2 separate regions of the Mus musculus genome follow, and region 1 is reported to be linked to region 2. The links are microRNA targets in miRTarBase. Many come from high-throughput screens and were not tested one by one. Region 2 holds a microRNA gene; the other region holds the end of a gene's coding sequence.

Region 1 (4,499 bases), not on the chromosome of region 2:
TCATTAAATGACAGTCCCAACTAATTGCCAGTTCTCTCTGAATTCTTTCTTTTTGGAGGGGGCATGTTTCTGTTTGGGACAGGATCCACTCTGTCTCCCAGGCTGGCCTAGAACTCACAGTCAGGACCCTTGGGCCTCCCCAGTTTTGCATCTGTACCAGCACACCTGGCCTCACCTAATTTTTGACTCCTGACCTTATTTTATTTTTGCCTGCCAGATAGGCCTGAGATAAGATCATTGTAATCCTGTGTTGGCTGTGTAGTTTAGGACAAATGAACAGGCAAAGGAGCTTTGTTCTGTTCTTCCAACACTTAACATTAGCTGCAGTAAAGTGCTGGGGTTTTCTATGCCAGACCTGGGGACATTGGAAATGTAGTATCTGCTTTAGTTGCTCCGGGTAGCTATACACTGTGGACGTGGGTGGGAATCTTCCCAGAGGAGGAGTAAGTTTTTACCTTGTCAGCGGCCCTAGACCAGCACAGTCATTGCTTGATTTATAGCTGGTTCCCTGCCTAACTGCATTGAAGACTCTTTACTGGGGCCAGAAGAAATCAAGCTCTGTTAACAGTACACCCTGTAGCCTAGGGGCTGAGTGCTGGTGGCATGTGTTTATACAGTTCTTAACTTCCACTGAGGTCTAGGATCAGGCTGCTAGAGCTTTGCTTTAGGGGCCTGAGTGAAGTAATTTACATGCATCACACAGATACGGAAAGACTGGCTCATACCCAGCACGCCACTTTTTGGACCTAAGCCTCCCCCATCCCTGCAGTACTTGGAATTCCTCTTATTGCATTAAGGTTTTCTTTAAGGAGTGCATACCTAAGGAGGCTTCAGACGTGGTACATATCAGATCCTGGTGTTAATTGTGCCCTTGACTTAGCTGACGGTACTAAGAGGTTTCTATGCTGCTTAAAGGAAGATAATTATATTTAAATGTGAGCTGTGTATTCAGGATGATAATTCAGCTGTGCCCTAACCTTCTTTCTTTTCAGGAGTTCCAAGACCTCTGGCCTCATTTGTCCCTTGTCATTGATGGGGGGCCAATTGGGGATAGTCAGAGCCCTGAGTGTCGCCTCGGCTCTACTGTGGTTGACTTATCTGTGCCTGGAAAGTTTGGCATTATTCGCCCAGGCTGGTAAGTATCTTTCCTGTGCCTCTGGGGAATGTGAGGGAGGTTGGAGAAAAGAGAAGATTTAAAGTGCAGGTTTTCTCCAGGCAGTGTTAATTCACGCCGTTAATCTCAGCACTTAAGAGACAGAGGCAGGCAGATCTCTTGTGAGTTCAAGGCTAGCCTGGTCTACAAAGCAATTCCAGGACACCAGGGCTACACATAGAAACCCTGTCTTGAAAGCAAAAATAACAAAAACTTAACCAAAAAAGTGCATATCTTCATTACCATTTTAAAGGGACCACTAAGGGCTGCCACAGAGAGGTGTTAAGTGGGCTGGGACTAAATTTGCTGGTATAGCTGGCTTTTTAAGATTCATCAAGTTTGTTTAACAGTGGGACAGTAATTAGAATTAGGCTACTCAGACTTTGGTGTACTCCATCTTCTGAGAAGTCAAACTCTTAACTACCTTCTATCTTCCTCAGTGCCCTGGAAAACACTACATCGATCCTCCAGCAGAAATATGGGCTGCTCCCTTCACAGGGGTCCTGTTCATGAAACTTGGGAGGACCCAAGGACCATGCTGGATACTATGTGTCTGCTACTGGATGGCAAAGCCTCACTGCCTGAGGTTCCTACATCTATAGCCTAGCTTTTTAGGCAGCATCCTTGGCTCTGAATCCTGTAGGCCAGCCAGAAGCTGCAGGGTGAGCCTTGTCCCCGGGGGAAGGTTATATTTATTTATTCTGTACATTTATTTGTCAGCCAAGAATTAAATGGAGGGAAGGATGTTCTTAGAGTGGCCTTATTATTTTAAGTGCCCCCTCTCACCCCCACCCCCTTTAAGTAACTTGAGTACAGAATTAGAATGCATTAAAAGCTGCTTTCTGGGGAACAGTGACATTTGATGTCAAACCAGCCAGAAGCACTAATGCAGTCTAGAATAGAAGTCTTAGGACCAACGCAGCAAAGTCTAGGAGCCGAGGGCAAAGCTGTCTGGGTACAGGGGAGTGGTTATTGGGGAAATTATTCTAGGGGTCCCAAGTGAAATATTGAAAAATAAAATCTTGACTTTTTTCAGCCGGTGACTTTCTAATTTATTGGTATAGTTTTATGTGTAATTTATTTAGCTTCTTTGTTTATGCAGAAGCCTTTTATCCTTGTTCATATGTCTACCAAGTATTTACATAATTATTTTGGGGTATTTGAACTGTATTTTCTTTTGTTGTTATTAAATATTGCTTCTACAAACAGTTGTAAATGGTTTATTTTTCTTTTGAGTTATTTCCTTAGAGTAGGATTTCTCAGTCAAGATATATGTGTGCATTATGGCTGTTGATGTAGATTAGTCTTCAGAAAATCTGAGGGTGCTTGCTCCTTCCTGCTGCCTTGCTGTATCCACAATATATATGCAGGGTTAAATCCAGCCCTTTCAACTAAGCTGCAAGCTGGGTGGTCAGCCCAGCTGATCTGTCTCGGGGGTTAAGTGTCGGTGACTGGGCTGGTTGTCCTTGCAGTGACCAGTATTTCACCTCCTCCATCTGCAGCCATTTCCCAGAGTTAAAGGCTCAGCTTTAGCCTGTAAACCAGTCCAGAAGGGTCTAGTGAACATTTCCTTTTCAAGAATCTTGCTGAAAATATTCATCAGGTTTTACTTTACCAAGGATCCTTGCAAGTAGCATTAGTTTATTTGTGAGTAAGCACTGGCTCGTTAACTCCCTAGAAATCTTATGTAAACTAGTCTTATAAGCAGATCCATCTCCACTGTGCTAAAGCTAGCCAGCCTAGCCATACACTGATGTGTCCCAGACTGACCTAGTGGTCAGCACTTAGGAGAACTGGAAGAGGAATGTGTACTGGCATACACCATTTCATACTTAATACAAATCACAGTAGCACTGAAAGTGGCCCTAGTGAGTGGCCTCCCCGGCCTAGGCAGCTAAAAGGAGTGACCTAGTCCTCTCTGCAGCTAAACGTTCATCTGGGAAAGGCTCCGGGTCACAGAGGTATTATCTTGGAGGAAAAAATAGCTGAACTCCCAGGCCTGGGTGTAGCTGCAAAGAGCGAAAACAGCCGAGGTGCTAGCTACAGTTATACCAAAAGCAGGATCCTGTAAGCTTTGGGAAGGAAACCTTGCTCAAATTCCCCAGCACCTGACAGGCAATAGGTGCTTAGTATGGGTGCTCAGTGTTCCTGATAATGGGGCACAGGAGTCTACTGGAAGGACCTTAAAGTCCTCTTAGAAGTGTCAGATGTGGTTCCCTGTGTTCAGCAAGATGTGGGAAGGTGGCTGTCCAAGGGAAGTAAGGTGCATGCTAGCTTAGAACCCTGAGACCCTCCTAAGCATGGCGGCTTGCGCAACTCCATACAACTACCTGCCTCAGCTGAAAGCTGAGGGACCTGGAGGTTCCTTAAGCCATTGCAGCCACTTGCCCCCTCCTGCTTCATCATGTCTTGCTTCCCAGCACCGCCAGTCCAGGTGCCAGGCTCTGTTCTGCATGAGCCAGCTGGTCCACCCACGAGCTCCCAGTTGCTACTTGGGACTAGCGAGTGCCTATATCCCCAACTGAACCAGTTTGGTGATCTGTTAAGGTTTGTTTGCGTGAGAGTCCCTCACATCAGCCATTGCTCCTTTTCCTTGATGAAGTGCTCTGCCCAGCGGCGGGTCAGCTCTAAATACAGGCTGGACTGGTGAGGCAGGTAGTCCAGATACAGGCGAGTTGGCGTCGTCTTGGGGACAGCTTTCTCAATCTGTGTGCCCTCGTGCCACTCATTGAAGGAGGTGATAGAGACTATCTCGGGCCTCACAGTCAGGGCTGCCTGCAGGGCTGTCTCATAGTACTTGCCATTGACCCGGTTCCGAGTATTGTGGTTGTTCCAGGGCCGGATGCTGGTATCAATGTACCCAGGCCCCACGCTAGGGATGAACATCAGGTTGTTGGTATCACAGAAGTTCTTCACAGCTTTCCAGTTCTGATGGGAAGAGCCAAAGGAGAAGCCATTGGAGGCAAAGTAGGTGTACATTCCGTCGAATCCTGCCGCGAGGATGTCGTGGGTGTGGCTCTCCTCCACGAGCAGAGCTATGAAGACCCCATCATAGGGAGTGTTGCGGATAGAGTGAGGCCCATTTTGTGTCAGGAGGTGGGCCCAGGCCTCAGGGGATGTCAGATAGGAGTCGTAGATATAAAAGAGTGGGAGGCTCTTGCCCATGCTATTCTTGTAACGGTAGAATGCACCGTGGGAGCCATACCTGAGGAGCAGGAGGGAGAGGCTTAGGTTGGTTGTGGTAAGATTAGCTCACAGCACTCTGGAATCCAGCAGGTTACATATTGAACCTGTCTATGCATTCAAGTATTAGCCTGCCTCCCTTCTCAGCACCGTGCCCCCTTCC
Region 2 (4,499 bases):
ACAAGGAAGTGTTTGAGTTGGTTTTGGTTTTGTACACCAATTATGTGTCTGTCTATAATATTAGGTACATGCCTACAGAAATCATGCTACGGTTTCTCTCTCTTTGTTGCATATTCATTTGCCCACATGCCATCATCAAGTGTGGGAATGAGAAGGCAGGAGAGACCAGCTGAGCTTCTCCCAGACAGCCTGCATGAACATACATAAGAAAGAAGGGAACTCTTTCCTCTCTAGCCCCTCACCTGGCTGGATTCTGTGATTATAAGATTTGAGTGATCATCAGAATCAACTGGAAGGCTTAAAGAGAATATAAACTGCTCTGTGTTATGACCTGATAGGTCAGGGGTGGAACTCCGCACTTTGAATGCATTCCCATGTGACGGTGATGCTGCTGATTCAGGGATCCTGCCTTGAGAATCACCACTGTAAATGGCCATTCAGAACATGAAGCATCTGGACACGGTGGCACATCAGACCTATAATCCCAGCACCCAGAGCCTGAGGCAGGTGAACCAAGAGATCTGGGCTACTCTGGAATAGACAGCAAGTTCCAGGCTGGACTAAGCTACTTAGTTAGACCTCCCTCATCTGAATAAAAAATATACATGATATAAAGACTACTATTTTTAACATGAAAGAGATTCACTTTTCTTTTGGGATCACATGTTGCCCAGGCCAGCTTGCAAATGTGTGTAGAAAAGTATGACCTATGGAGGTGGGTATAGGAGAATCAGCTTGAGGGACAGAGCTACACAGTAAGACAGTAAGCTCCTGTCTTCAAATGGGAGTAGTGATGGTAGTTGACAAGAAGTCACTTAGTCTACTGGTCTTCGGGCTGAAGGGATGAGGAGAGGGAACAACACAATAGGCTCCATATCCACTCTTCCTGTGAGCGAGTGACTCCTCTCCACGTAGGCCCATGTGTTTAGGCATATCTAGGGCCATGGGAGGGGGAATAGTTTGAGAAATCTCATCTATCAGACCCTGCACTGAGTCATTCATACAGAATAGAAAACAAGGAACAATAGACCTAGGTCATTCTTTTGAACAGCAGTTGGTGAGTCTATAATAGTCAAGGATCTTAGTGTGTTTATTAGTCTCCTAAGAGAGTAGCACCTCTGTTCATTTTGTTTCCTGCTACATCCTCTATGACTAACAGAGCTGTATCAAATAGTGCATACCTGAATATTTGTGAAAGGAAGGAAAAGGAACAGGGGTGTGGACATATAGGGGCTCTGTCCTTTAAAGTGCAGGCGAAGTGCCACCCTTTGGATTCCTTGGACAGGACTTACTATTGAAAACAGCACTTGTGCTGAGGATTAATGTTCCTGATGAATCAGGTCAGATAATCCTCTCTGTGGGCACAAGTCTGTGAATCCTCTCCTCTGTATACACTGCATTTATATGGGACTGTGTTAAAATATGGAAGAATCCAAGTGGACAGTGTACATGAAGTCCCAGTCTACAGTCCACTCATGCAGGCATAATGGATGTGACACAGCTCACTCTCCCTGGACCATTTGCTCCCTGAACCACATGTGGTTCATACTCCTGTGGACCAAATCCCTAGTTGAGTACCTGCCATACTGAATAAATAGACAGGAAACAGTGGAAGGAGGCGTAAAGGTCCTACATGAAGATAACTCAATGTCTGAACCCTTGCCCAGGTATATTGCATTCGCAAAGCACACTCATCCAAGTAGCAAGTACTAGAAAGGCACAGCCTGCACCTATGCCCTTGGCATGTGGGTTCAACAAGAAGGCTTACTGTTCTTGCCCTGTGCATTCCTCCAAGAGTTGAACTAAAGAAGAATTTCTCTTCCAGGTGTCGGTATGAGAACTAGAATGAAAAGCTGCGCACTTATGTCAATACACAGTTTACTATGTGCCCCACTTGTTCTTGATACCTGTTAGGGTCATAAGTGGAAATAAAGTTCTACCTATAAAATCTAGGTGGGAAGAGGCCAAATTTGTCACATTTACTCTCCCATGCACCATGCCCGTTGTATTTGTAGAAGGAAAGAAGGTGGGGGGAGGCATAAAAGAAGTATGCAAGCAGCAAACAGATGAGATATGATGCACAGACCTCCTGTCCTTCTCCATGCAGATCAGGCTCACCTTCCCCAAATCCTTGCCCGGGTGCATTGCATACAAATAGCATTTTCACCCAGGGACAAAGGATTAGAGAGGATGAGCAGAGCAGAAGGCCCAGGCACCTGTACCATGTTTGTGTGGTTCTGTATATAATATTTAATTTTCCTTGTCCTGATTCAGCCAAGCATCACCACCTATACCCAAGCTTGACATCCCTGATTTATATATGTATCTGCCCCCTTCCCACCATGAGCATCCTCTCTCAGAGAAAACTTCTACGTATACAAAATGGTATCTCTCCCAGATCATACTTGAGAATTTGTGGGGGCCTGATTTATGTTTGGAAGGTAGCAAGAAGGCTGGGATCTGAGAATGCATATACATACTGAAAGAGGGCACAGTGGAGGAGGATACTCCATTCCTTTCCAATGCCTTTATACAATTCAAGCTTTGTGGAACAGGGGTTATCACTGGATGTAACAAACGGGTTGCCTGAGTAGCAGCACCTAATGTGTGCTCCTCATCACATGATCTGACACTTAGCAAACTGGGAATCAAGAAAGCTCATGCTGAGAATAGAAGCATGTCTACCAAACATGATAAAGACCATTTTGCTGTTAGAAAATGTGTAGAACCAAGTCTGACAGCTAAAACCAAAATCAAATGGTGGCCAGGAGGAGGGAAGGTGGCAGGTGAGATGTGCAAGTATGGGCCATTCTACACGCAGACAAGGCTCAGCCTCTTTGAATCCTTGAACAGGTGTGTTGCACTGAAGCAGCATTCACACCTAGGTTCCAAGGATTCGAGAGGGGGAGCAAGCAAGAAGGCTCAGGAACCTGCCCTTCCTGTGTGTGGTCAATATGCTTGTGTGCAACACACTAAAAGAGAACGAGAGATGCGCTCTGTCCTTTACAAACACAAAGGTCTGGCTCTCAGAATCCTTGCTGAAGAACACTCTCACCCAGGTAGCAAGGATCAGAGAACTGAAGCAGGGCAAAAGGCTCACAGCAAATGAACGCATGGGCTCACCTTTGACACAAGGTGCTTATCTGTGATGAGAAAGAAGACAATGTTCTTGAGCTTCACATTAAGTATGTCTAGGCACCTGAGTTCAACTCCCAGCCTCCACATAAAAGAGCCAAGCGTGAGGACTCAAAGAAAGCTAGATCCCTTGGCCTAACTGGTGAGTGCCAAGTCCCTATTAGAGACTGTTTCAAAAAACAGGGTAGATGTCCCCAAAGGGGAAGCACCTCAGGTTGACCTCTGCACCCTCCACACACATACACAGAAAGAGAGAGAGAGAGAGAGAGAGAGAGAGAGACAGAGTGACAGACAGACACAGAGACAAAGAGAGACAGAGACAGAGAGACAGACAGACAGACAGACAGACAGAGACAGAGAAACCTGTCTAAATATATACATTCATATTTTGTTCTGAGATTATAAAAATATAAAGCCAGAGATACAAAATACTGAAAGAAAAAAAGACAGAGAGACAGAGAGAAGAGGCCATAAGCTCACAAGATGGCAGTAGAGATTGGCATCCTTTAACACACATCAGCATCTTGTTAAAGTTACTTCAGATACCTGGAGGACTTGGTACTAAGATAACTTACAGAGGTTTCTCATTAGTGAGCTCAAGATTTTGTATTTCTAAAAGGGGCTGGGTGATGCTGGGGACCTTACCAGCATCATGGATAAGACAGAGAAACTGTGGAGTTTGGTATCTACAAACCCTGTTTCAAACCTATACTTCACCATGTACTGGATTAAAGAATCTACCTGCTTTCTCCAAGGTCATGGACTACTTCTAAAAAATGAGAATAACAAATGCTATCTCTTTAAAGAGTACCAAAAAAATTAGGTAAGATGCAAGCCTAGAGTAGGATGCAGGACCTGGCCCCTGGCTATTATTTTTACCTCTTACACTACCATTTTTGTACACATGTGTCTAAATGAATGTCCTGTTTACAATAGTATGGTCATACTCATATATGCAAAAGCCAGGTGAAGGAGGCATGAATATCAGTGACTCGGAGAATCTGTAAAAGGCAATGCAAGGACTGGCTCTCTGGTAATTCTTCTTCAATGTGCCTAAATCAACGAAGTTCACACCCCTTTCTGTGAGGGATATGAAAGACAAAATCACAAGTTTCAATCTTTCACTTTCCTACTATATGTCACAGAGAGTGAAGAGAGTCAGGAGTAAGGAGAGAGGGGAGAAGTAGAGAAGGGGGGAGAGCGAATATAAATGAATGACAGTAAGGCATTTTTCTCTATGAGAAAACAAGTGTATCAAACAAAAGAAACCTTCTATGCTCACGGGCCTATATATGATGTACACCTAGCTATAGATGGGCTTCATTCATATTTGTTCTCCTATCTACCCAGCTGATGCAAAAGCA

The links. The annotated mature microRNA mmu-miR-362-5p reads AAUCCUUGGAACCUAGGUGUGAAU and lies in region 2 at 2,874-2,897, opposite strand. An mRNA with a match to its seed (bases 2 to 7 or 8) in the 3' UTR can be bound and repressed. Matches are read on the target gene's strand: a 7mer-m8 pairs with bases 2 to 8, a 7mer-A1 pairs with bases 2 to 7 and ends in A, and an 8mer does both.
Region 1: miRTarBase lists Maneal as a target of mmu-miR-362-5p. Seed matches in the 3' UTR shown: 7mer-m8 at 2,774-2,780.

What each region holds. Positions count from the first base shown.
Region 1 is chr4:124,852,882-124,857,380 of GRCm38, forward strand. It overlaps Maneal (mannosidase, endo-alpha-like), which reads right to left. Exons shown (of 4, transcript NM_001007573.3): 4 at 2,358-4,358. The coding sequence ends at 3,722. Yrdc (yrdC domain containing (E.coli)) reads left to right here. Exons shown (of 5, transcript NM_153566.2): 4 at 993-1,135; 5 at 1,594-2,361. The coding sequence ends at 1,666. Among named protein-coding and RNA genes, the nearest start is that of Yrdc, 4.4 kb to the left of the region's middle.
Region 2 is chrX:7,239,146-7,243,644 of GRCm38, forward strand. Mir362 (microRNA 362) reads right to left here and starts at 2,901; the gene lies at 2,837-2,901. The region is part of intron 2 of Clcn5 (chloride channel, voltage-sensitive 5); the gene reads right to left. Mir501 (microRNA 501) reads right to left here and starts at 2,206; the gene lies at 2,098-2,206.